3 linked regions of the Rhinolophus ferrumequinum genome follow. Each later gene encodes a partner of the first gene's protein in a complex. Links are inferred from orthologs where the notes say so. Each region holds a gene or a part of one and is shown in the gene's direction. Other genes may lie near its edges.

Evidence for each region.
Region 2: AKAP17A (region 1) and PPP1R8 share a complex: the UniProt entries of both Homo sapiens proteins name them as parts of the spliceosome. The link is inferred for Rhinolophus ferrumequinum from reciprocal best matches to the Homo sapiens genes AKAP17A and PPP1R8.
Region 3: AKAP17A (region 1) and C12H9orf78 share a complex: the UniProt entries of both Homo sapiens proteins name them as parts of the spliceosome. The link is inferred for Rhinolophus ferrumequinum from reciprocal best matches to the Homo sapiens genes AKAP17A and C9orf78.

Annotation. Positions count from the first base shown.
Region 1 is NC_046284.1:124,073,416-124,081,317, reverse strand, and holds the start of AKAP17A (A-kinase anchor protein 17A), read left to right. Parts: upstream 1-4,836; 5' UTR 4,837-4,983; intron 4,984-6,437; 5' UTR 6,438-6,453; coding exon 6,454-7,215; intron 7,216-7,546; coding exon 7,547-7,695; intron 7,696-7,902. UniProt on the Homo sapiens protein: Splice factor regulating alternative splice site selection for certain mRNA precursors. Mediates regulation of pre-mRNA splicing in a PKA-dependent manner.
Region 2 is NC_046292.1:19,069,815-19,077,041, forward strand, and holds the start of PPP1R8 (nuclear inhibitor of protein phosphatase 1), read left to right. Parts: upstream 1-4,164; 5' UTR 4,165-5,116; coding exon 5,117-5,172; intron 5,173-7,076; coding exon 7,077-7,137; intron 7,138-7,227. UniProt on the Homo sapiens protein: Inhibitor subunit of the major nuclear protein phosphatase-1 (PP-1). It has RNA-binding activity but does not cleave RNA and may target PP-1 to RNA-associated substrates. May also be involved in pre-mRNA splicing.
Region 3 is NC_046295.1:78,220,593-78,227,679, reverse strand, and holds the start of C12H9orf78 (splicing factor C9orf78 homolog), read left to right. Parts: upstream 1-4,045; 5' UTR 4,046-4,099; coding exon 4,100-4,182; intron 4,183-4,515; coding exon 4,516-4,575; intron 4,576-5,399; coding exon 5,400-5,451; intron 5,452-5,670; coding exon 5,671-5,741; intron 5,742-6,259; coding exon 6,260-6,337; intron 6,338-7,087. UniProt on the Homo sapiens protein: Plays a role in pre-mRNA splicing by promoting usage of the upstream 3'-splice site at alternative NAGNAG splice sites; these are sites featuring alternative acceptor motifs separated by only a few nucleotides. May also modulate exon inclusion events.

The DNA of each region.
Region 1 (7,902 bases):
GGGTGTCCTGGCTTTGGCCACTGGACAGTTTCGTTATGTGATTTCTGATGGGGGCTCTGGAACGTCCTGTGTCAGTTCCAAGAGTGGATGGAGACTAAAGGTACTATCTAGAACCCCTGCGAGGGGCTGGAGACTGAGGGGCGGCCACAGGGACAGGCTGTGGTGGAGTTCCAGTAAAAACCAGGCACTGAGGCTCAGGTGAGCTTCTCTGGGGGCAGGGTTCCAGGCATGTTGTCACACCTGGATGCTGGCTGGCAGGCTGGATGGGGGGATGGATGGATGACGGATGGATGGATGGATGATGGATGGATGGATGGATGGATGATGAATGGATGGATGATTGATGGATGGATGATGGATGGATAGATGATGGATGGTGCATAAATGGATGGATGGATGGATGATGGATGGATGGATGGATGGATGATGGATGGATGGATGGATGGTGGATAAATGGATGGATGGATGGATGATGGATGGATGGATGGATGATGGATGGATGGATGATGGATGGATGGATGGATATGATGGATGAATGAATAGATGGATGATGGATGGAGGGATGGATGTATGGATGGATGGATGGATGACGGATGGATGGGTGCATGATGGGTGGATGGATGGATGGATGGATGGATGATGGATGAATGAATAGATGGATGATGGATGGATGGATGGATGGTGGATGATGGATGGATGGATGGATGGATGGATGATGGATGGATGGATGGATGGTGGATGATGGATGGATGGATGGATGGATGGATGGATGGATGATGGATGAATGAATAGATGGATGATGGATGGATGGATGGATGGTGGATGATGGATGGATGGATGGATGGATGAATGAATAGAAGGATGATGGATGGATAGATGGATGGATGGATGATGGATGAATGAATAGAAGGATGATGGATGGATGGATGGTGGGTGGTGGGTGGATACTGTCGCCTTAGCTGCTAGTCCTTTGTCCCCACCCCATGTCTCCTTTATCCATCTTCTACAGCGCTGCAGCCTGTGGACCCAACCTGCTAGTCCCACACTCTAAAATTACCTTTGAACACCCTTTCATCACAACAGTGGGGCTTTAGCACACCTGCAACACATTATCTTCCTGCCATCTCCAATGCTGCCAAAAGCATTAATTATACATATGCCTTGTATATCTGCATAGCAGTATATATATATTAACAGTCTCTGAATATATATATTGTATATATATATATATATAATATATATAAACAGATTAACAGTCTCTGAACACACACACACACACACACACACATATATATTGCACAAATACCTGTATGTATTTTATTGTGCAATGTAACTTACACATAGACCTTTGTATAACTGGGCAATAATTCTATAGGGTGACTTACCAGCACTGGCATTACCAAGTGAGACAGAATGTGGGCACAGCAAAAATGGTAACTAGTAGGCTGTGTGGAATTTCCTTTAGAAAATCAGGCTAATGAACACATGCCGCACCAGCAGAGGAGACTGTCTCCAAGTCCTGGTGTGGCTCCCTCAAGGCCCACGTGACACACTTTTCTTTGGATCGTGCTGCTCAGAACTTAGGCACATGGTGCATTAAAAGTCCTGGGGTAGATAAAGAACTACCTGATAAGAGAATGCGTTGCAAAGGGCTGGTGTCCTAAGGAGGGTAACGTTCGTGGGAAAACCACTGGGCTGATGTCTTTGCTGAGGACAGATGACGGACGGGTTAAGGAACCCTGAAGACCTTGGCTTCCGGACCCTACCACAGGGATAACCAGGCAGCTCCCTCTGGGGTTCATTACATTGGTGGGCGCGCCCCCTGGCGGAAGTGAGTTGTTTAGGTTTGAGAGGCATGTTTAATATTAATATGTCTGAGGTGTATGGATGGAGGGAGGGAGGGCTGGGTGGAGAGGTGGTAAGTGGGTGGGTAGAGGATGGATGGAGGGATGGGTGGGTGGGTGAGCGGATGAATGGACAGATGGATTAGGGTGGGTGGGTGGAGGGATGGATGGATGGACGGGTAGCTGGATGGGTATGTGAATGGATATATAGGTGGATGGATAGATAACCAGACAGACAGCTATATTGCTGGATGGATAGATAGATAGATAGATAGGTAGATAGACATGCATATATGCACGCATTTAGTGATCCACACACTTACATCCTCAGGCATTTTTCTTGTAGGAGTAGATGAACAGTCTCTGAATCTCAGTGAAAGTGGAAGGAATGCCGACACCCTGGGGAAGGTGTCTACCCTGGAGGGAAGTGTCTCACTCTAGAGGGCAGCCAGAATTGGATCTGCTCTGGGTTCAGAAGTAGGCGTCCGTTCGCTGGTCCCAGTTCTCACCAGGCCTCACTGAGTGCCGACATCTGGCTTGGAACCCGGGACCTCTGTGTCAGTGGTCGTTAGGTCCTTGAAGATGAGGTCAGAGTGGAGTAGGGGGAGCTGTCCTTCAACGTGTCGGGTGTCCTTCTAAGAAGAGGGAAGAGACAGATACACACACAGAGGGACGACAGCCGTGTGAAGGTGGACGCCGAAGATTGCCAGCAAAGCTCCAGAAGCTGGAGAGAGGCCTGGAGCAGCTCCTTCCTTCGCCCTCGGAAGGAACCAGCCCTGCTGACAGCTAGATTCCAGAACTGTTGGGGGATACAGTTCTGTTGTTTAAGCCCCAGTCTCTGGTATTGCATTACAGCAGCCCCAGGAGACTAACACAGTCACGATGACAAAAGTGCTGCTTATTTCAGCACAGAGAGAATGTCTTTTTTCTGCGTGGGGTGAAGAGGCACCATTTTCTGCGGTTAATGAGGGCTTAGGACCCACACGTTTTCTCCAGATGCATTGGTTGTGGATTTATGTGCACCAAGTGATGATAAACGGAGCAGCTGCCAACAACACACTTAGCAGCCCCCAGTTTCCGCACGTCAGGAGTCCAGGCGCAGGCTAATTGCATCCTCTGCTGGAGGACTGACCAGGTTCACATCAAGGCGTCAGCCAGCCCCAGGCTCTCACTCGAGGCTCGGTGGGGGGAGGGAGGGCTCTTCTAGGATCCCTGGTTGTTGGAAGAACCCAATTCCTTCCGTGGTAGCATTGAGGCCTTCATCTCTCAGGAGCCCTGCTAAGGAGATCTCCTGCTAAGTGATCGTCTCCATAAGGCAACCAGCTGTGTGGCTGCTGCTTCAAATCTCTCTGACTTCTTAACTCTGACTTCTGCACCTGATTGTGCCCGGCTCACCCTGAATAACTTCCCTTTTAATTCGCTTGAATCCATTGATTAGGCACTTTAATTACAACCGCAAAATTCCTTGACCTTTCCCATATAATCCTGGGAGTGACGTCCCATCATGTGCCCAGTTCCTGTCGATCGTCCACGAGAGTGGTTTCTACAGCCATCCACTTACCGCATTGGGACCAAGGATCATGGCTGCAGCTAACCTGGAACTTTGTTTTTCTATTTCTGAGGTGCAGCCAGAGGAGGGGTACCTTGCTAAAGACTGGAGCAGGAATTTCCTGGAACATTTCCCCAAGTACTGTAATCCCCTCTTGGGCTTGCCGGTTCCGAAGGACTGCGTGTCTTCCTTCTTCATGTGCTTTGCGAATGTCTCAGAGAGCAGAGTGGAAACATCGCTTTCAAACTGAACCGTTCCCCAGGGAAACAAACGCGCAAGCAGCCTCGGAGAGGACGGTTTTAAAGAGAACACCAGACCTCTCTGTCTTCCCAAGAAGAACAAGAAGGTACATGAAGACAGTGAGGAAGCCTGCCTGGGTTCAAAGCCTGGGCCACCTTCCTGGGGGAGCCTGCACCCTCCCTTTGCTCCTTCTCACGTGGAGAGCACGGTCATACTTGCCTCTAGGGACGGTGTGTGGACAGGACAACACGACCCACACATAGCAGACACCCAGAAATTATGCAGGAACCCCTTCCTATTGAAAACTCCATTGGTAGTTGGGGTCCCTTCAGTCCCCTGGCCCCTCTAACGCTGATGGGTTGGCAAACTATGTTGAACAACGGAGGGTTCCCTCTTGTTTTCCGACCCTGGATTTTCAGGGTGGGGGCTTGGACATGGTTGGGGCATCCGAAGCCCACGGCTTGTTCACCATCTGCCATAGTATGGGAGCCTCATACATTGTAACGTGCAAATTTCTAATTACATAATCATATAAGCATACGATTCTGTAAAAAATACTATAATGATGTATAAAGTGACGTGAAAATACATGCAAAATAGAGTTGCATTTCAATTTCGTTATTAAAATAAGTGTCATGTAAAGTATGAAACATAAACCATTGAAAATATTAAAATATTACATATTTGTATTACATGTTTACATAAGCACATAACCGCCCCTGGAAGGAAGCCTCCAATCTAGACATCAATATACATAACTAAGTAATTAAGTTATTAATAAGTGCTTGATGAGAGAAATGCATAATTTATCATTGAATTATATAACTATGGTACCTGTGATGTGAATTAATGTGTACAGTAAATACAATAAATGAATGCTTGATTCGATCGTAATTTACAGTTAACTTATATTAGTAGATTATGCATGGTTATCATAACAATTTAGGCGCAAACACCAGGCACCGCTCCTGATCGTCGAGCGCCCACCGTGGCCCAGGTGCGGCCTCGGCCTGGACCTGCGACCTGCGCACAGGTAGCGGCGTGGGGGGCAGGGCGAGCTCGCGCACGCGCAGTGCACAGCAGAGGTCGGCCCGCCCTCGCCCTGGGCCCCCGGAAGTCCCGCCCTAGGGGCGGGGCCAGGGCCGGGAGGAGAAACCGGCAGCCGCCGCGCGGCCGCTTCCGCGGGCCCGCACACCGGAAGCGGAAGTGCGTCACAGCGGCGGGCGGCGGCGGGGCGCATCGGGGGGTCTCGGGGGGGGAGGCTGCTCCTGCCGGGGTCGTCGGGGGACCGCGGCGAACTGGGGCCAGGGCGGCGGCGGCGGCGGGGGACACAGGAGGAGTCCCGCGCCGGTGAGCACCGCCCGCAACCGCTTGCCTCCGGGAGCCGGCCGGGGTCGGGGTCCGGGTCCGGGGGTGGTGCGGGGCCGGGGCCTGCGGGGGCCGGGGGCGCTGGGGGGCCGGGGGATCCCGGGGGCCGGGGGCACTGGGGGGCCGGGGGACACGGGGGCCGGGGGCACTGGGGGGCCGGGGGACACGGGGGCCGGGGGCACTGGGGGGCCGGGGGATCCCGGGGGCCGGGGGCACTGGGGGGCCGGGGGGATCCCGGGGGCCGGGGATACTGGGGGACACGGGGGCACTGAGGGGGCCGGGGGATACCGGGGGCGGGGAGTACCGTGGGTCGGGGCCCTGGGTCTGAGGTGGGGGCAGTACCAGGGGTGGCCTAGGAAGGCCCGGAGCCTGGGGGTTACCATGGAGACCGAGGGTTACGGGGAGCCAACCTTTATGAGGGGATCGGTGCTAGAGGCCAGGCCAACCGGGGCTCTAATGAGGGCTGGAAATCTGGGGTACCCAGGGTAATGGCGGTGTACCTGGGGGACAGGGGGCAGTTAGGGGGACACAGCGAAGCCCCAGAGGCAGCTGCGTGGGGTGGAGGTGTGGGGGCTGAACCCCGGGGCCTGGGGGCGCCTGGGCTACCAGAGGCAGCCGGGCCCTCGGGGGTGGGGGTGGGGCACAGGGGTAGCCAGGCCACCAGAGGGAGGGTCCTGGCGGGGGCAGTTCTGGGGGAGGTCTGGGGTCTCAGCCTGGGCCGCAGCCCCTCGTCCACGCAGGTGGCTCTTCCACGCGGTTCAGAGCCTCCTGCCTTGGGGCCTGTCGGGAAACCTCCCACCTGAGCTGGCGGGCAATGGCTGGATGGGCCACCTGTGTTGTTTGGGTGCGTGGTGTTAAGGTCACGGCTGGAACCTGCCCTCCGGGAACTTGTGGGGACCAGCAGGGAAGACCAGTAGGGCAGTGAGGGGAGGGAGAGGGTGCCCATGGCTCCCAGCCCCCAGCTGGGGAAAGACGGGCACTTTTCACGTGAAGTAGGGCAGAGACAGGCTTGCAGTGTCTTCACCGTGAACCTTCCTGTTTGACCAGGGCAAATGCCAGGCCACCTGCTACACAGTCTTCCAGGTGCCTGAGCGGCCTCCTGCCTGTGGTTTCCCCACGACCTGTCTGCACCTCCCTCCAGGGAGCTAGGCGGGGTCTCGCCTGCGTCTTCCCGCTGCACAGAGGGTGGGAGCCAGCCCGCTGGGCTCTGGCCCCGGGAGGGCTGCTTCTGGGTGCCGGGTGCAGGGCGCGTAAAAGCTTTTGTCCACCCAGTTCTTTTCCCCTTTGGCGTCACCTGATGGTTTCAGGACAGAGCCATCTCAGGTGATGAGGGCTTCCAGCAGGTGGAGCCCCCGTTTTCCCACGAGGCACAGAAGCAGCCTCGCGCGCTGGGCGGCCCGGGCGCCCGGCCCTGACTGTGTGCGTCTGCGTTTCAGGCCCCAGGTCCCGGCTATGGCCGCGGCCACCATCGTGCACGACACGTCTGAGGCGGTGGAGCTGTGCCCCGCGTTCGGCCTGTACCTCAAGCCCATCACCAAGATGACCATCAGCGTGGCGCTGCCGCAGCTGAAGCAGCCGGGCAAGTCCATCTCCAACTGGGAGGTGATGGAGCGGCTGAAGGCCATGGTGCACAGCCACCAGTTCTCCACGCTGCGGATCACGAAGAGCACCATGGACTTCATCCGCTTCGAGGGCGAGGTGGAGAACAAGAGCCTGGTGAAGGCCTTCCTGGCCTGCCTGGACGGCAAGACCATCAAGCTCAGCGGCTTCTCCGACACCCTGCGGGTCCGCGCCGCCGAGTTCAAGATCGACTTCCCCACGCGGCACGACTGGGACTCCTTCTTCCGCGACGCCAAGGACATGAACGAGACGCTGCCGGGGGAGCGTCCGGACACCATCCACCTGGAGGGGCTGCCCTGCAAGTGGTTCGCCCCGCGGGACGCGGGCTCCGAGAAGCCCAGCGAGGACGTGCTGGTCAGGGTGTTCGAGAAGTTCGGGGACATCCGCAACGTGGACATCCCCATGCTGGACCCCTACCGGGAGGAGATGACGGGGCGCAACTTCCACACCTTCAGCTTCGGGGGGCACCTGAACTTCGAGGCCTACGTGCAGTACCGCGAGTACGCGGGCTTCATCCAGGCCATGAGCGCCCTGCGCGGGATGAAGCTCATGTACAAGGGCGAGGACGGCAAGGCCGTGGCCTGCAACATCAAGGTGCTGGCCCCCCCGGAGGCGGGCGGCGGGCGGCGGGCCGGGTGCTTCAGCCCCGCGGGCTCTCCCTGGGTTCCCGTGCGGCGACGAGGCCGCCAGCCTCGGACAGAGCCGGCCTCTGACCCTCGGCTGGCCACCCGGTGGCGCCGGCACAGGGCCCAGGGCGGCGGCGGTGGCGGCGGGGTCGGCCGGGGAACTGCTGGGGCCCTGGGGAGCGGGAGGGGCAGCCGTCTTGTGAAGGGGGCGACTTGGTTCTTGTCAGCACACGGAGAGGCGAGGCACGTGTCCGCAAACGCGGCCACCTCATGCCGCCGTGCCCTGTGTCCACCCGCAGGTGTCCTTTGATTCCACCAAACACCTGAGTGACGCGTCCATCAAGAAGCGGCAGCTGGAGAGGCAGAAGCTTCAGGAGCTGGAGCAGCAGAGGCGGGAGCAGAAGCGCCGAGAGAAGGAGGCGGAGGAGCGGCAGAGGGCCGAGGAGAGGTGCGGCGGGGAGGCGGGGCCCTGCGCGCGTGTGTGCACGTGTGTGCTGGTGGGATGTGTCTGTGCGTGCGTGTGTGCATGCATGTGTGTGCGTCCATGTGTGTGCGCGTCTGCATGTGCACATGCACGTGTGTGTCCATGTGTGTGCTTGTGGGATGTGTGTGTGCGTGCATGTGTGTGTCCATGTGTGTGCGCGTCTGCATGTGC
Region 2 (7,227 bases), on another chromosome or scaffold:
CAGGAAGATTTTAAAAGCTAGACTGAAGTTGGTTTAAAATTTAGTTCTGTGAACCTAGCAATAAAGCAAAGCAAAGGTTCATTTTTGTAAATAATACTGGTTTGGAATAGTGATGTTAGACATCTTAATTTATGAACAAGAAATTAATCTCTCCATGCATAGTTTTAGATAAGAAATGTTTCAATAAAAGATTGTTGTCTTGTAATATAAATGTTGTCCACCTCCCTTTTTCACAAGGCTAGAGCAGTTAAAGGGAGTGTAATTTTTTTAGGCTCTCACATAGATGTGAATTGGGCCAACAATTTCAGTTCATCCTTTAGTGAATTAGAAGATTTGGCTACCCTGGATATATTTATATTAATTTCTTCTATTCCCTTTAATCCTTTAATGTTACTTGATCTTTTACTATACTAATGTGAACAGTAGGGAAACAAGGGCCCAAATGTGTAAGTTTCTTTGCACTCTCACACCATTCTACCCACTTAATAAAAATAAACATTTTAGAAGCTTTTGTAGTCTGTTTTTATCAGTTAACATCCTAATGTGGTAGATATCAGGTAATGTGCTATTCTGAGAAAAACTGAGACCTGCAAGAAGACTAGAGATCAAGTGAGGATTGGTTTGGGGGTGGAACAGGTGCTGCTGCAGCCCCTTCCTTGAAAACCAGGATGGAGCTATTGGGGTGTCACAGTGGCCCCAGCAGCAGCTTTAGAGCTTATTCCTTGGCTCTACGATCATTGTCCTTTCTGCTCCAAATTACAGCTGGACTTGGATACATCATTTGTAACATTCTAGGCAAGAAAGTCTGGTGAAAAACTATTTCAGTTTGGGTAAAATGAAGCCACCATAATTCTGTTTATTTAGTACTACATACGTAGTGGTCCAATGGTGGTGGTAATAGTGGTCACAGGTAGCAAATATGACCTTGGCCTAGAATTTGAATGGCCTGGAATTTGTGGCAGTGCCGAAAGGTTATGGTAGATGGTCCTAATAAACCGGTTCATAGAATCCTCCTTATTTGTGTTTTGTTCATTGGGGGAATCATGGTATAGGACAGTGGTTCTTAACCATGGCTTCACATTAGAAACAAAAAAGACTGATACCTGGGTGCTCCTGCCACAAAATTCTAATTTAGTTTGTTTTGAATATAGCCTCGGCATATGGACTTTTAAAAGCTTCAGATAATTCTCCTGTGTAACCATGGTTGAGAACTGTTTTGGAGGTCAGAAAACAAGCATGGGTTACAGAAGGCCTGAAGAATCTTAGCTCTGCCATTAACTTGCTGTAGGTATTTGGGCAAGTCATTTAACCCACAGGCCCCAAATTTTCTCAATAGCTCTATTCTAGCTGTGAAATTCTCTGATTTTAAAAGCCACAGGGGTTTGGTCTGAACATAGAAATTCTATGTTTGCCTCTGTATCCCTTTCGTCTTCCTCTTTTCTCCTTCCTTTATGGAATGTTCTAGAAGTATTGGACAGATCCAGTATTCTCTCTTCAAGTGGATTAAAACTGTAGTACTGTATAGGGCAAAGTACAAATGTCAGGCTGGCTACTTCATCTGGGAATGTTCCAGAACAAGAACTTACCAGCTGCTAGACTGATGCTCCCAGGGTAGGTTTGTTTTGTTTGATTTTGCTAAGGGGTGGTGATACACTGCATTGTACCATTGGGCAAAAATATCAAAAGGAAATTACCATTTAGTCAGTGCAAAGTAAAACATGCTGAGCCGCCTCCATTCAGTTCTGTTTTGTTTTTCGTCTGTTCAGAGGCTGTCCTCAATCATAGAAATGAAACTTTTGCTTTTGGTCACTAAATGCAGACCAGAACCCAACTCAGATTTCAGTCTATCCTGTTTCTTAGGAGTAGGAATCACCTGTTTCCTTTGGGCTGTATAAAGCATGTTTAGTGTATCCCTAGGTTTAAAAGAATTTTTCAGTATTGACTTCTAGTGTTACAAAACACAACTAGTTTAGAATCTCCAGTTAACCAGGAACTAGTTTGAAAGGTTTTGATTCCCAACCCCTGATCTTAACTTTTAGGCCAACTGAGTAGTTCATTTTAATACTTACCCAAAATGAAATTTGATTGACAATGTAGCACTTAATTTTTAAAGATAAACTTGAAATAATAGAATTTTTAATGTTGGACTGTGATTAAGGACCAAGTTTTTACCAGTCCATGGAGAAATGAGGAAAAGGATGTAGTGGGCTTTTTAAAAGTACCACCTTTGAGGCTCAACTAATGACCTCCTCCAACTTTTTAAAAAGGATATTGAAAGATGGTAAAAATGGAAAGGTGGTGATGTTAGATGGCAGTCTTCATTTTTAAATCTCCTTAGTTGGCAAAACAAAAGTTGATATTCCTGTATTTTTTTCCTGGTCCATGACATCTCTGATGTCTGTCAACCACTCATCTAGACTAGCCCCATCACCTACAACTGAAGAAGTTGAGGCCAGGAATGGCAGTCTATTACAGGAATTCAAAGGCTTGAGGAAATGCTCTACATGTGAATGATTATCTGTGGGGTAATATTTGAGCTCTTGATACCAGCAATTTACTATGCTAAATGTTAACTGTTTCACATTTTACATTTGTTATGCCCACAAAACCATCTAGGAGATACATGTTTCTTGTCCTCTTTTTATGGATTAGGGAAGCGAGGCAAGTAAGTAATTTAGGAGTGATGGAGCCAGGATTTGATCTCAAGCACTCAGACTTCAAAACCACACCTTTAGATGCTAAACACTGTTAGTCTCCATGCAGCCCTAATACAAACTATCCTGCTCACCACCTCTTTCATGAAGCTTTCTCTAAAAATCTGGAGTAACAGTAATTTCTATCCAACTTGTCATGAACATCTTTTATTTCATTAGTACCTTGTGAACTTTTCATTAACGTCCTATCTGTAAACACACTTGTTAAATGAAGCCTCCTGCTTGTACTATCTGTACACACACTTTTGTTGTTTTAGTGTCTCCACTTGATCACTCATATATCAAAGATGTTTTAAGAAAGTTTTCTGACATCAGTATGCTCCTGATGTTTTTAGGTTCTATTCTATGGAAGTGCCAATGTCTAAGAAATTAATCTGTCTTTGTTGAGATACCAAAATCCAAAGGCAGCTAGACCATCAGTCTTCCCATTTCAAAAGATGAAGGGCCTAGACAGCTGTCCTCCAGTTTGCTAGTCTATACTGACATCATTGGCGCCCACACAAAGAGCATTTTGCTTTAAAAGGTCTAGGTAAGTGTAAGGTGTCATTACATCACAAGCCAGTGTGAATATCAGCTGTGCTGGAAAGGGAACATGGCCAAGGAGTAAAGAATTTAAGGGTAAGAATATAGCTTTAGGTTTCTTGGGTGTATAGTTAGCAATAGAAAGGATTAAATCATGGACCACACACAGAAGCTGAGAAGTTGAAAGGCAAAGTTGACATGTTACCAGGTCACTCATAGCTAGAAATGGCTTCAAGACCACCTCATGCCTGAAAGGGGCATGGAACCTCAAAGGCTTGCACAATCTCTGTAGATAAAAGTACCTTATTCTTTTCTATTACACTTAAAACACTTTTGAGACTATTGAATGCCTTCTCAAGAATCACGTCCTTGTGCTCAAAGGAGGGAGTCATTGCCTGTTTTCTTGAAACCAAGTTTAGAATTTGTATTTTCCTCATCAGCCTAGTCTTTGGAATCAAGACTGGAAAGGAGATATTAACTGGTCCTTTGATAAGTCATCTGATCAGTTAACATCCTTGGTAGGTGAGTTTATTGTGCTTTTAAAGGCTAGAGGAAAAGGTGATTCTCCTACCTGCCTAAGAATTGATCATTTTAAAATCCAAGTTGTTAGGTTGGTGCAAAAGTAATTGCGGTTTTGGCAATTATTTTTAACATTTTAAACTGCAATTACTTTTGCACCAACCTAATATGTTGCAGTTAAATTTTGATCCCTGGAGATGTCATTAAGGGCAAAATCTTTTGAACAGGCTGATGTTCAAATTTAAAATCAACAGGACCAGTAACAGGAATCAAGAAAAACATCACAGAAAGACGTAACTTGCTGTGCAGTGCCTTTTTCTGGGTGAACAGTAATTTTGCAATTAGTTTCTTTAAAAAAAGGAAAAAGCAGGTCAGATAATCCAGGTTTTCTACAGAAGTAAAAAGTCTTGAGCATCAGTTGCATGATGATAAATATGTTTGTACTAACATCTAAATGTGAGAGACAGTGGTGATTAAAGAGCATGGCCTTTGGCATCGTACAAATTTAGGTTTGAATCCCACTCACCACTCCTAGGGTGAGCCTGGACAACTCAATCTCTCTGAGCTTCCCCTTAGGGATCACAATATCTATCTCAAGAGTGTTGTGAGGATTAAATCCATATACAAACTTGCCCAGAGAATTCAGCACCCAGAAGATAAAGCCAGCTGTTGGCCTAGGGCAGGCCTGAATCCTAATGCTTCCTTTCACGATCTAGTCACCATCACCAATATTTAAAAAGTCAAAGGGGTCACAATTTAACCATTACATTCATACACATTAAAGATTTGGATGCCTGCCTTGAGTGGATCCTTACCTGGCTCCAGCTTGTCCAGAGTTTTCATAAACAGACTAGATTTCCAAATGATCTACAGTAGCCCTCAAGGCCCAGATTTGGATTAGGAAGGGGAAGTAAGTGGGGTACAAGCAGCTCTGCGGAGTAGGACCAAAAGATCAGAAACAGAATGAGTGATCACTCCAATCTCTGAGCTCGGGTGTAAGCCTGCAGCATGGATGGAGGAGCCGCAAGATTTAAGAGCCCAGAAGCGAGTCTGTAAGGAGGACGTAAGAGACCGATACTCCCTTTCACAAGCTCCTTTTCCTCAAACACCTCCCGGCCAAGGAAAGCCCTAGCCTCCGGAGATTCTTCCAGAGAAGGCCAACAGTCTCAAACACTGAAAAAGACCTCAAAACCACATTCTAGTCTCTACCGCCACTACTAGTCTCGCCCAGTATGTGCGAGTGAAGACGCGTGCGCGCGCACGGGCGCGCGCTCGCACAGACCCCTGGGATACCATCTCCTCTTGGTCTTCCAGTTTCCCGGCATGCTTCGGGCCCGCCAAATGGGAGGGGGAGACGCAAGATGGCGGCAGCCGCGAACTCCGGCTCCAGCCTCCCGCTGTTCGATTGCCCGACTTGGTGAGTGGCGGGACGACCAGAGCTGGAGTGGCCTGGCCTGGACTGGCTTGGGCTGGCTGGGCGGCTCATTTTTCGCAGCGAGCTGAACAGCTCAGAGATCGGGGGACTGATTGAGGGAGAACTGCCCGTCGGGCCGGGCGGCGTGTGGAGGAACCGGGAGCCTGGAGCCCGGGCCCAGGCACTGAGGAAACCCAGAGTTGAGGGCTCTGAGGCGCTCGCTTAGGCAGTCCCTTGGGCAATCAGCCGGTTGCCGTGGCGCTTTGGGCCGTGGCCCTGAACTTACCCCAACTCCTGACTGAATGTCTAGTGCTCTTGTGGAGCACCGTGCCTGCCCTGTTCTCTTGTCCCGAGCGCGCACGAGCTAGCTTCCCGGCCTCAGCCCAGTCTCAGATCCCGGCATCCCTCTGTTGTGCTGCATCCCTGATCCAATACTTGTTTGTCGCTCGCAGACTGGGAGCTTCCTGAGGGCAGGCACGGCTCTGACATACCCTGCATTCTCAGCAACCAGCGCGAAGCCGGGCACAAGTGGGCATCAGTAATTGTTGGAATGAACCCCTTTCATCCTTTCTCAAGATCTTGGAAATAATGGAATAATTTAATGTAGTCTTTAAGTAGGGTACAGGATGAATAATTATGAATTGCCTTGTAAGGAGACCCATCTGAGTTAGAGCTATTTCTGCAGTAACTCATCACAGTGTATTTATGAGTTACTCTTCTCTGCCTCCCGTTATATTGAGATCCTCAAGGGCAAGGGCTGTCTGATGCATCTTTATATTTACAGCTCCTAGGCCTAAGACAGGCACATAGTAGGAGTTCAGAAAAGATGTTTTGGATGTAACATTGCTATCCCTGTTTCCCCGGGCAAAATGGGCTTTTGTCCAATGCCCTGTCCTTTCAACAACTGCCATACAGGAGTTGGGGCAGGATTGTGAGTTGACTATATTGCATCTTCAATTAGATGGATGGATACATTTTATGCACATGTAAGGACTCTGGCAAGATTGTTCTTTTTTTTTCCCCTTCAAACTTCAAAGGAACAAACACGGGAAGCAAATGAATGTGTGGCTATTTTCTAGGACCCTTTGCACTTTTGTAATACCCACTTGTTTCATTCTACAGATTTTGTGTCCACTTTGATTCCTTGCTGCATTGATTTCAGAAGTTGGACCTGGACAGTAAACTTATAGTTAGAAGAGACTGTTTGAGATCACCTTCCATTTCCTCAGTCTGTTATGTACCAGGCACTGTGTTAGGTGCTTTGACATGTGTATCTCCCTTAAATGCTGTGGTTATAGTAGTATAGAGAAATGTTCCCTTAAACATGCCATTGTAGAAAGACCTGTTCAAAGGTAACAACTCTCTCTTGTATTTATTGGTACTTGGTTTCATGCACATGATATTGGATTACTCTTGCTCCCTAATTACGCATATATACCTCTGATTTGGTCTCAGAGCTCAGGACAATACCCTTTGCTCATTCTGTGATGAAACTAATCTTGATCAGCCCAAAGCACTAACTGATTTATTCAGCCTTTATATGATATTTGTGGTAGTGGCAAAGCTTAGATTCAAACTCAGGTGAGCAGACTACCCCAGCAATAGTGCTTGCACTCTCTATGCTGCTTTCTTTCTGAGGTAGCTATCCAATATTAAAATATAGGTTTCTTTGGTGCTGCTCTAAATACAGATCCACTAAAATCTGTTTTAGAGCAATTGAATCACTGGGGAAGTTAAGTGTCATAGTTTAGAAAGGAGCTGTAATAACAGAGAAATAGATGACATTTCTGCTTGAACATGAACTAATTATAGGCTGATAGGAGAGCTGCAGTGTTGAATGGGACAGTGGTTGTAAGTGGCGTTTACGAACTCAGCCTGAAAATGCTTTATTCACTCTTATTTTTCAGGGCAGGTAAACCCCCACCTGGTTTACATCTGGATGTAGTCAAAGGAGACAAACTAATTGAGGTATGGAAATACATGTCTTCCCTTTTTTTCCCACCACACTAAAGATTTTTGCCAGTGACTCACTTTTCCACCCCCTCTCCTGTGTTTTGT
Region 3 (7,087 bases), on another chromosome or scaffold:
TCCTGTCCTGAGGCAGCCAGCACCTCTGCTGCCAGCAACTTGCTTCTTTCTCAGTACAAGATGAGAAGCTGTTTCAGATAAAAGGCACTCAAGAGATATGACAAACTTGGATCCTGGATCAACGGGAAAAAGGGGCATTAGTGGGACAGCAGACAAATCTGAATATGGACTAGATATTAGATAGTATTTGTTAGGGACTGAATTGTGTCCCCTCCCCCAAATGTATATGTTGACGACGTCCTTACCCCTCAATACCTCAGCATGTAATCTTATTTGGAGATAAGGTCTTTAAAGAATTAAGTTCAAATGAGTCTTTAGGGTGGACCTTGATGCAGTCTGACTGATATCCTTATAGTAAGAGGAGTAAAGTTAGACACACAGGAGGCATGAGGATGCACAGAGGAAAAACCACGTGAGGACACAGCAAGAAGGCAGCTGACTGCAAGCCCAGGAGAGAGGCCTCAGAAGAAACCAAATCTGTTCACCCCTTGACCTTGGACTTCCAGCCCCCAGAACTTTGAGAAAATACATTTCTGATGTTTAAGCCACCCAGTCTGTGGGACTTTGTTATGACTGCTCCAGCACACGAATACAGTATTATATCAACATTCAAGTTTCTGAAGATGAAAATTGTTTTCTGGTTGTGTATTATAATATCCTTGTTCTTGGATTATTCCACCTGAAATATTTAGATGGAAAGGGTCATGATATCTGCAACTTACTTTTAAATGGATCAGCAATAATGATGATGATTCTGAGCATATAAATATAGGAAGAGTAAACGGCAAAAATAATAATTGGTGACTCGTATGAATGGGATTTCATTATTATTCTTGTAAGTTTGATTTTTTTTGTTTTATTTTTTATTTTCTTATTTTCCCCCCCTTCTTTCACCTCCCCCCCACACACACACACTCTGGTTCAAGCCATCGTTTCTCAGTCTAGGTGTGTAGGACACAGCTCCCTGGGACATGCTGGTATTAAAAGCTTTGCGCTCCCCTCCGCCCTCCGCTGATGCAGTCGGCCGCCGGTCACCTCTCCCCGTCTGCCGGCCACCAGCCACTCATGCTGGCCGCCGGCCACTCATGGTAGCCCAGGGCAGCCCATAGCAGATGGCAAGGACCTCTTGCTCGTGGCAGCCCAGGTACAGGGAGAGCCGTTGTTCACAATCTTAGCTGTAGAGGGCGCAGCTCACTGGCCCATGTGGGAATCGAACCATCCACTGCAGCTTAGGAGCACGGCGCTCCAACAACCTGAGCCACCAGGCTGGCCCCCTTGTTTTGTTTTAAATAGAAACTTTTTAAAGATTCCCTTCCTCTTGTTTCAGGTGGAAGCAGGGAGGGGGTCTTTTGGAAAAGGTAACCCTAACTCCACAACAGAGCTCCAGGATCCAGCGCCTACTCTGAGCCAGGCACTATGCCCAGTGGTCCCCCTACACTCAGGTAAGGACCACTATTTCTTATCTTAGAGAGGAAGGATGGAGGCTCCGAGATGGGAAGCCACACAGAAAGGGACACAGCTAGAAGTAAGCCAGGTGTATCTGCGTTCATAGCCCTTCCCAACCTTCCCTCTGTGCAAATAAATGGAGTGCACATAGTAGGCGTTTCATAAGACTGAAAGGGGAAGAAACCTGCACTCCTCAGAGAACCGGATGCTGGGAACAGGACCTCTCGAGAGCAGCTGGATGACTGTGCTGTCGGGAGTCTGTGCGGTGCCCGCCCCACAGCTGGTGCCCAAATCGCCAGCCAAAGGAGTTAGGCTTTTTCCACACCCATCCCAGAGCACATCTCCCTCCTGACCCACCAGACCCGCCTCCTCTCTTGGGGATGAACAAGCAGGAGGAAAGGAGGCAGGATGGCAGGTCTGGCAAAGAGCCCGTGCATTCAAGGACCGGGTGAGGCTTCCAAGATGCTTCATCCGGAATAAGGACAGGCACTTTTCCCTCCCTGGGGCTTTCACTGAGTGAGGAGGAAAGTGCCTCCCGAGGGACGCGGCAGGCAGGCAGCATATCCGGGCCTGGCACCAGCTGCTGAGACCAGGCCTCAGGTGCCCATTACTCATCATTTTCCTGGAGGTTCTGGCTCCATCGTCCTCCCAGCCAGGAGCCAATTTCCTCTGGACAGGAAAGGTGACACTGCCACACCCCCCATTAACATAAGGACACCCACCTGCCCTGATCCTCACCACATGAGCCCTGCCACACCCCACACACCCGCGCCCACACCCCTCTGCCCCTCAGAACATGTACCCTTTCCCTCCCTCCTGCCCTCTTCTCTCCAGTAGACTTCCACGCAGCTCCATTTTCCCTAAATCCCAAATACATTCCTTCTTTTAACCCAGTCTTAATTCACTGAGGGTCCACCATCCTTCTGATTCTCAAAGGAGAACCCTCAGGCACCTCCTGCCTTGGCAAGTCCTGCTTCCCACGCATCTCCAGTTCTCCTCATTTGCCTTCCCCACCTTGCCTCCACCCAAATGGCCCCTGCATCCTGGAACTGATATTAAGAGAACTCACTAAATCCTCATAACCACCCTGGGGGATGGCCACATTGGGAGCTAAACCCATTTCCACCTCCACCACGAAAAGAGGAAAGACTGAGGCTCAGAGAGGTGGTGTAACTGGCTGGAGGTCACACAGCAGCTACTGAGCAGCTTTTGACCAAAGCCAAAAGGTTCCAAGAAGTCCTGAGTCTACTATTTGTCTCAGTCCAAGGGAGAGAACAACAACCTCAGAGGAGACTGTTCCAGAGAAAAGTAAGGCATTCCATAAATGCTGCCCAGCTTCCGAATGGTCTTCCCAAAGAGGGAACCCCAAACAGTCTCCACCAGTACCTCCCCTCAGCCAAAGAGCTATAATAACAGCAGCTTCAGCAAACATTTACTGAACTCTTACTGTGCCAGGCACTGCAAAACGTGCCTCTTTGAAGCCCGGTATCCTCATTTGCAAAGTGAAAAATAACTGAATCTACTTCATAGGATTGTTGGGAGAGTTCAATGAGATAATGCTTAGCCCAGTACCTGCCACAGAGTAAGTGCTTAATAACAGCTAATTCTTTGTCAAAGGAAAGGACCAGCCGAGATTGAGGAAAGCAAAGCCACTATTTATGCCTGGAGTTATTTCCTAAGCGTTTGTTTATGCCCTTTTTTCAAATAAACTGAATCCTCACAGCATCCCTGGGGTAAAAGGGGCAAAAGGTAGAGCGATAGTCTGCGTGACAAAGGACGAAAACAAGGCCCCCGAAGGTCCAGAGAGACGGCCGGCAAGCACCCGAGGAGGGGCCCTCTGTCCTCAAAACCCTCCCGAGTGGGTTCAAAAGATCAGACGCGCCTCTCCTCGGGGAGAAGTGGCTGGAGGTCATTATTAGCGGGGCAGTCGGCGCTGGGGCTTTAATTCACCGCCGCTAATAAGTGGTCATCTTTTTGTCCCTAAAGAGAAAAAAACACGTCAGGGCCCAGACCCCGGGGAAATATAAGTCAGCGCCCCGAATGCCACATGCGTGCTTTCAACGCTGGATCAGGCCCTGGCAGAAATAAAGGACATGGCGGCCCCTGTCCCGGAGAAGCAGCGAGCCCCCGGGAGCTCGAAGTAGGGCGACGGGACCACAAGGGACCCCCTGGGCGCTGGACGGAGGAGGGGAATGGGCGACAGCGTCCGGGGGGTCCCGGGCTCCGCTCACCTAGCCGCGGCGTCCAGCGCACTTGGCAGGGCCAGGCCCCCGCCGGCCCGGAACAGGGATTGGGTCGCCCCTGCTCCGAGAGGCCAGGCCCCCCGAAGCAGCCCGCCGCAGCCAGGAACTCACCTGCCGTCGCTACCTCGCCGCCTCAGCCTGTCAGTCAAACGCGCCCTCCGCTACGCCGCGCAGGGTCCTGGGGCCGGCTTGGCCGTGCCCCGCCTTCTCTTCCTTGGCTTCCCAATCGGAAGACGCCGACACCATCAATGGGGGCGTGGCCAGGTGGGCGGTGCCAGGCGGGGCGGGCCCAGGTAGGGCTTGGGGCGGGGCCAGGCGGAGCCGGCGCTCTGACCGCACTGCTGCGCGCCGGAAGCATACTAGGCCTTCGCGCAGCGGCGCAGCGGCTGGACCGCAGGGCTGGCGCGGTCATGCCGGTGACCGGGAAGACTTTCCGCCGGCGCCGGGCCGACTCGGAGTCGGAGGAAGATGAGCAGGACTCAGAGGAGGTTCGGTGCGTTTGGGGCGGGGTTTCCGCGGGGCAGGAAAAGAGAGGCCGACTTGGGGACCACCGGCCAGGAGCCTCGTTGACCGTATTTGCTATGAGCCGGGATTGTTGTCGCGGGAGAAGTTGAGGGTCCTAGTGATGTGGTCGCCACCCCCAAGGCCGCGCAGTTAGGAGAGTTGTCTCCGGGATGGGCAGTGGATCTGATGGGTCTTGGCGCAGGTTCGCCTTCCGTACCACTGTGCCCGCGGCTCAGCAGCGGCTTGGGGCACGGGTCGAAGCTGCTTTTTGACTCTTGAGTTCTGCGGAGGGTCTCTCAGCCTGCGTATTGCCTTTTTTCAGATTAAAACTGGAAGAGACTCGAGAGGTGCAGAACTTGAGGAAGCGGCCCAACGGGGTGAGGTGGGTACCGCGGGGGAACCTGGAGGAGCAAGGGATGACAGACACGCCCCTGCCCCGGTCGCTGTCACACATACCTCCTCAGACATAGCCCCTTTTCTTGACACACTGTACACCTTCCACTGCCCTGAAAGGGGTCTAGCATTCTTTGAAAATATTTAACCAGGAGATGCCCTGCACGGTGTGGTCTGCAGGTTTGCTCTGAAGGTGCAGAAACGGGTCAGTAAATAGCACCTATTAATGTAATTCTCCCACCCAGAGGTAACCAGTGTTATCATTTAATGTTCTTTCCGATCTGTATTCTTTCTCTGGTTTGTAAAGGGTAGTAGGTACTTATATGCTATTTTCAACTCTATGACATTGCGGACATTCACTCACATTGTGGATTATTTTCCCAAAAACCTTTTTAACGGCAGCATAACATTCCACCAAATGCATGTCCCATAATTTAGCTCATTCCCTATTTGAGGACCTGTAGGTTGTGTTGTAAACTTTCATCAAATAAGGCTGCAATATCTATCTTCCGGCATTTGTCTTTAGCTTTATTTTCCCTGAAGGCAAAATCTTAGAACTGATGTTTCCAAGCCAAGATAATGCCAAATGGCTTTATAGGAAAGTGTACCCCTTCACCCCGCCCCCAGCATCTAAAGTGCTTGTTGAGCCCTATTTCATTCTTGCAGGCTTTTCCAGCTGGCTTTGGCGCCCATCCCTCAGATCTCACCCTTGCACTAATGTTGCAACCTACAAACTTTCTAAACGTTCTTCCACATCTCTAAACTATGCCATTCCTTCCCTTTTACCCACCTTCCCTTTTTGGTTTTGCTCAGTGCTGTGGCCCTGCTGGTGGGAGAGAAGGTACAAGAAGAGACCACTCTAGTGGTAAGTTGTGGGGTCCTCCGTGAGCAGTGGGAAGATGTGGATGCTCTTCAATGAGTGATGGTGTTTTCTTTAAAAAAAGAAAAAATCCACTGCCAAGTATTAGGTTGGTGCAAAAGTAAATGTGGTTTAAAAGGTTAAAAATAACTGCAAAAACCACAATTACTTTTTCAGCAACCTAATATATAGATGTTTCCTCTTAGCTGTGTTTGTGTTCTGCAGGATGATCCCTTTCAGATGAAGACAGGCGGTATGGTGGACATGAAGAAACTGAAGGAAAGGGGCAAAGATAAGTAAGTGCAGAACACACTGACATACAGATTCACCTGTATCCCTGCTAGGGTCTGTGTGCCCCAGAGAGCTGGCCTGCAGTAGTAGCTTTAGCGGGACATCTTCAAGTATCCTTTGTGCTTTGTGCAGGGTTTCAAAACGAAAGAACACAAAAACTCTTTAAAAGTTAGCATAGAGAGATGTGGGTACACTCTTTTTGTAAAGGTGCATTGTTTTTTTGTCTTTCAAACCCATGTGGATGTTTCATTTTTCTTTTTTAAGGAAACATAAAAAAGCACAATTATAAAAATAGCACATTCAAACAATACACGAGTAAAAAATAAAATATCTGTTCATTCCCCAGAGGAATCTCCAGAGGCCAGCAGTTCACTTCCATATATTGATTTTATTTACGTATCCTATATATATTTTTCCCACTATAAACAGGATGATAAAACATGCATATTTGTCTTATTGCTATAACATAAAACTCAGCCTGAGCTGTGACTCGAAGGCCCACTTCACTCTCCTCTCCTTTTAGGATTAGTGAAGAGGAAGACCTCCACCTGGGGACGTCATTTTCTGCAGAAACCAACCGAAGGGACGAGGACGCTGACATGTAGGTGTCAGTCTGTTTGACTGTGAGCAATTGAGGGTGGGCTCCAACCAGATACAGTCCAAGATATTTAGTCACAGATGACATTTCTAGAATTATCCAAAGACATCAAAGTTGGCCCTTCTTGCCTCCATATCTGAGGCTGGAAAACTTTGAAAAATGCCTAAAAGTTCTTCAGAAGTGGTTCTTGAGATTTTAGATTCCTTGACTAGTAATATTTCCCTAAAACATTGCACAGATAAACATCAGACTACCCACTTTTTATTTTGCCAACAAGGTTGTTAAACAACTACCACCTATCATGTTTCCCCGAAAATAAAACTTAGCCAGACAATCAGCTCTAATGCGTCTTTTGGAGCAAAAATTAATATAAGACCGGGTTTATTATATTATATAAGACCCGGTCCTATTTTACTATAAGACGGGGTCTTATATTAATTTTTGCTCCAAAAAATGCGTTAGAGCTGATTGTCTGGCTAGGTCTTATTTTCGGGGAAATACGGTACAATTATTTTTTTGTCTTCGAAGAACCTTATGTTTAATAATGCCAGTAGAGTGTAGGACATAATCTCATCAGTTGGTGCTTTTAAGTTGCAAATTTTAGCTTCATGAAAACACTCGTTACTTTTGTTTTTGTTACCTCTCCATGGGCTGATGAAGATTTCATGGACCATCACTGCTCCATGGGCCAATGTTGGGGACCACTAATTTAAAAGACGCCCGTTGTGAACATTCTGCCCCTCCCTGAGACCT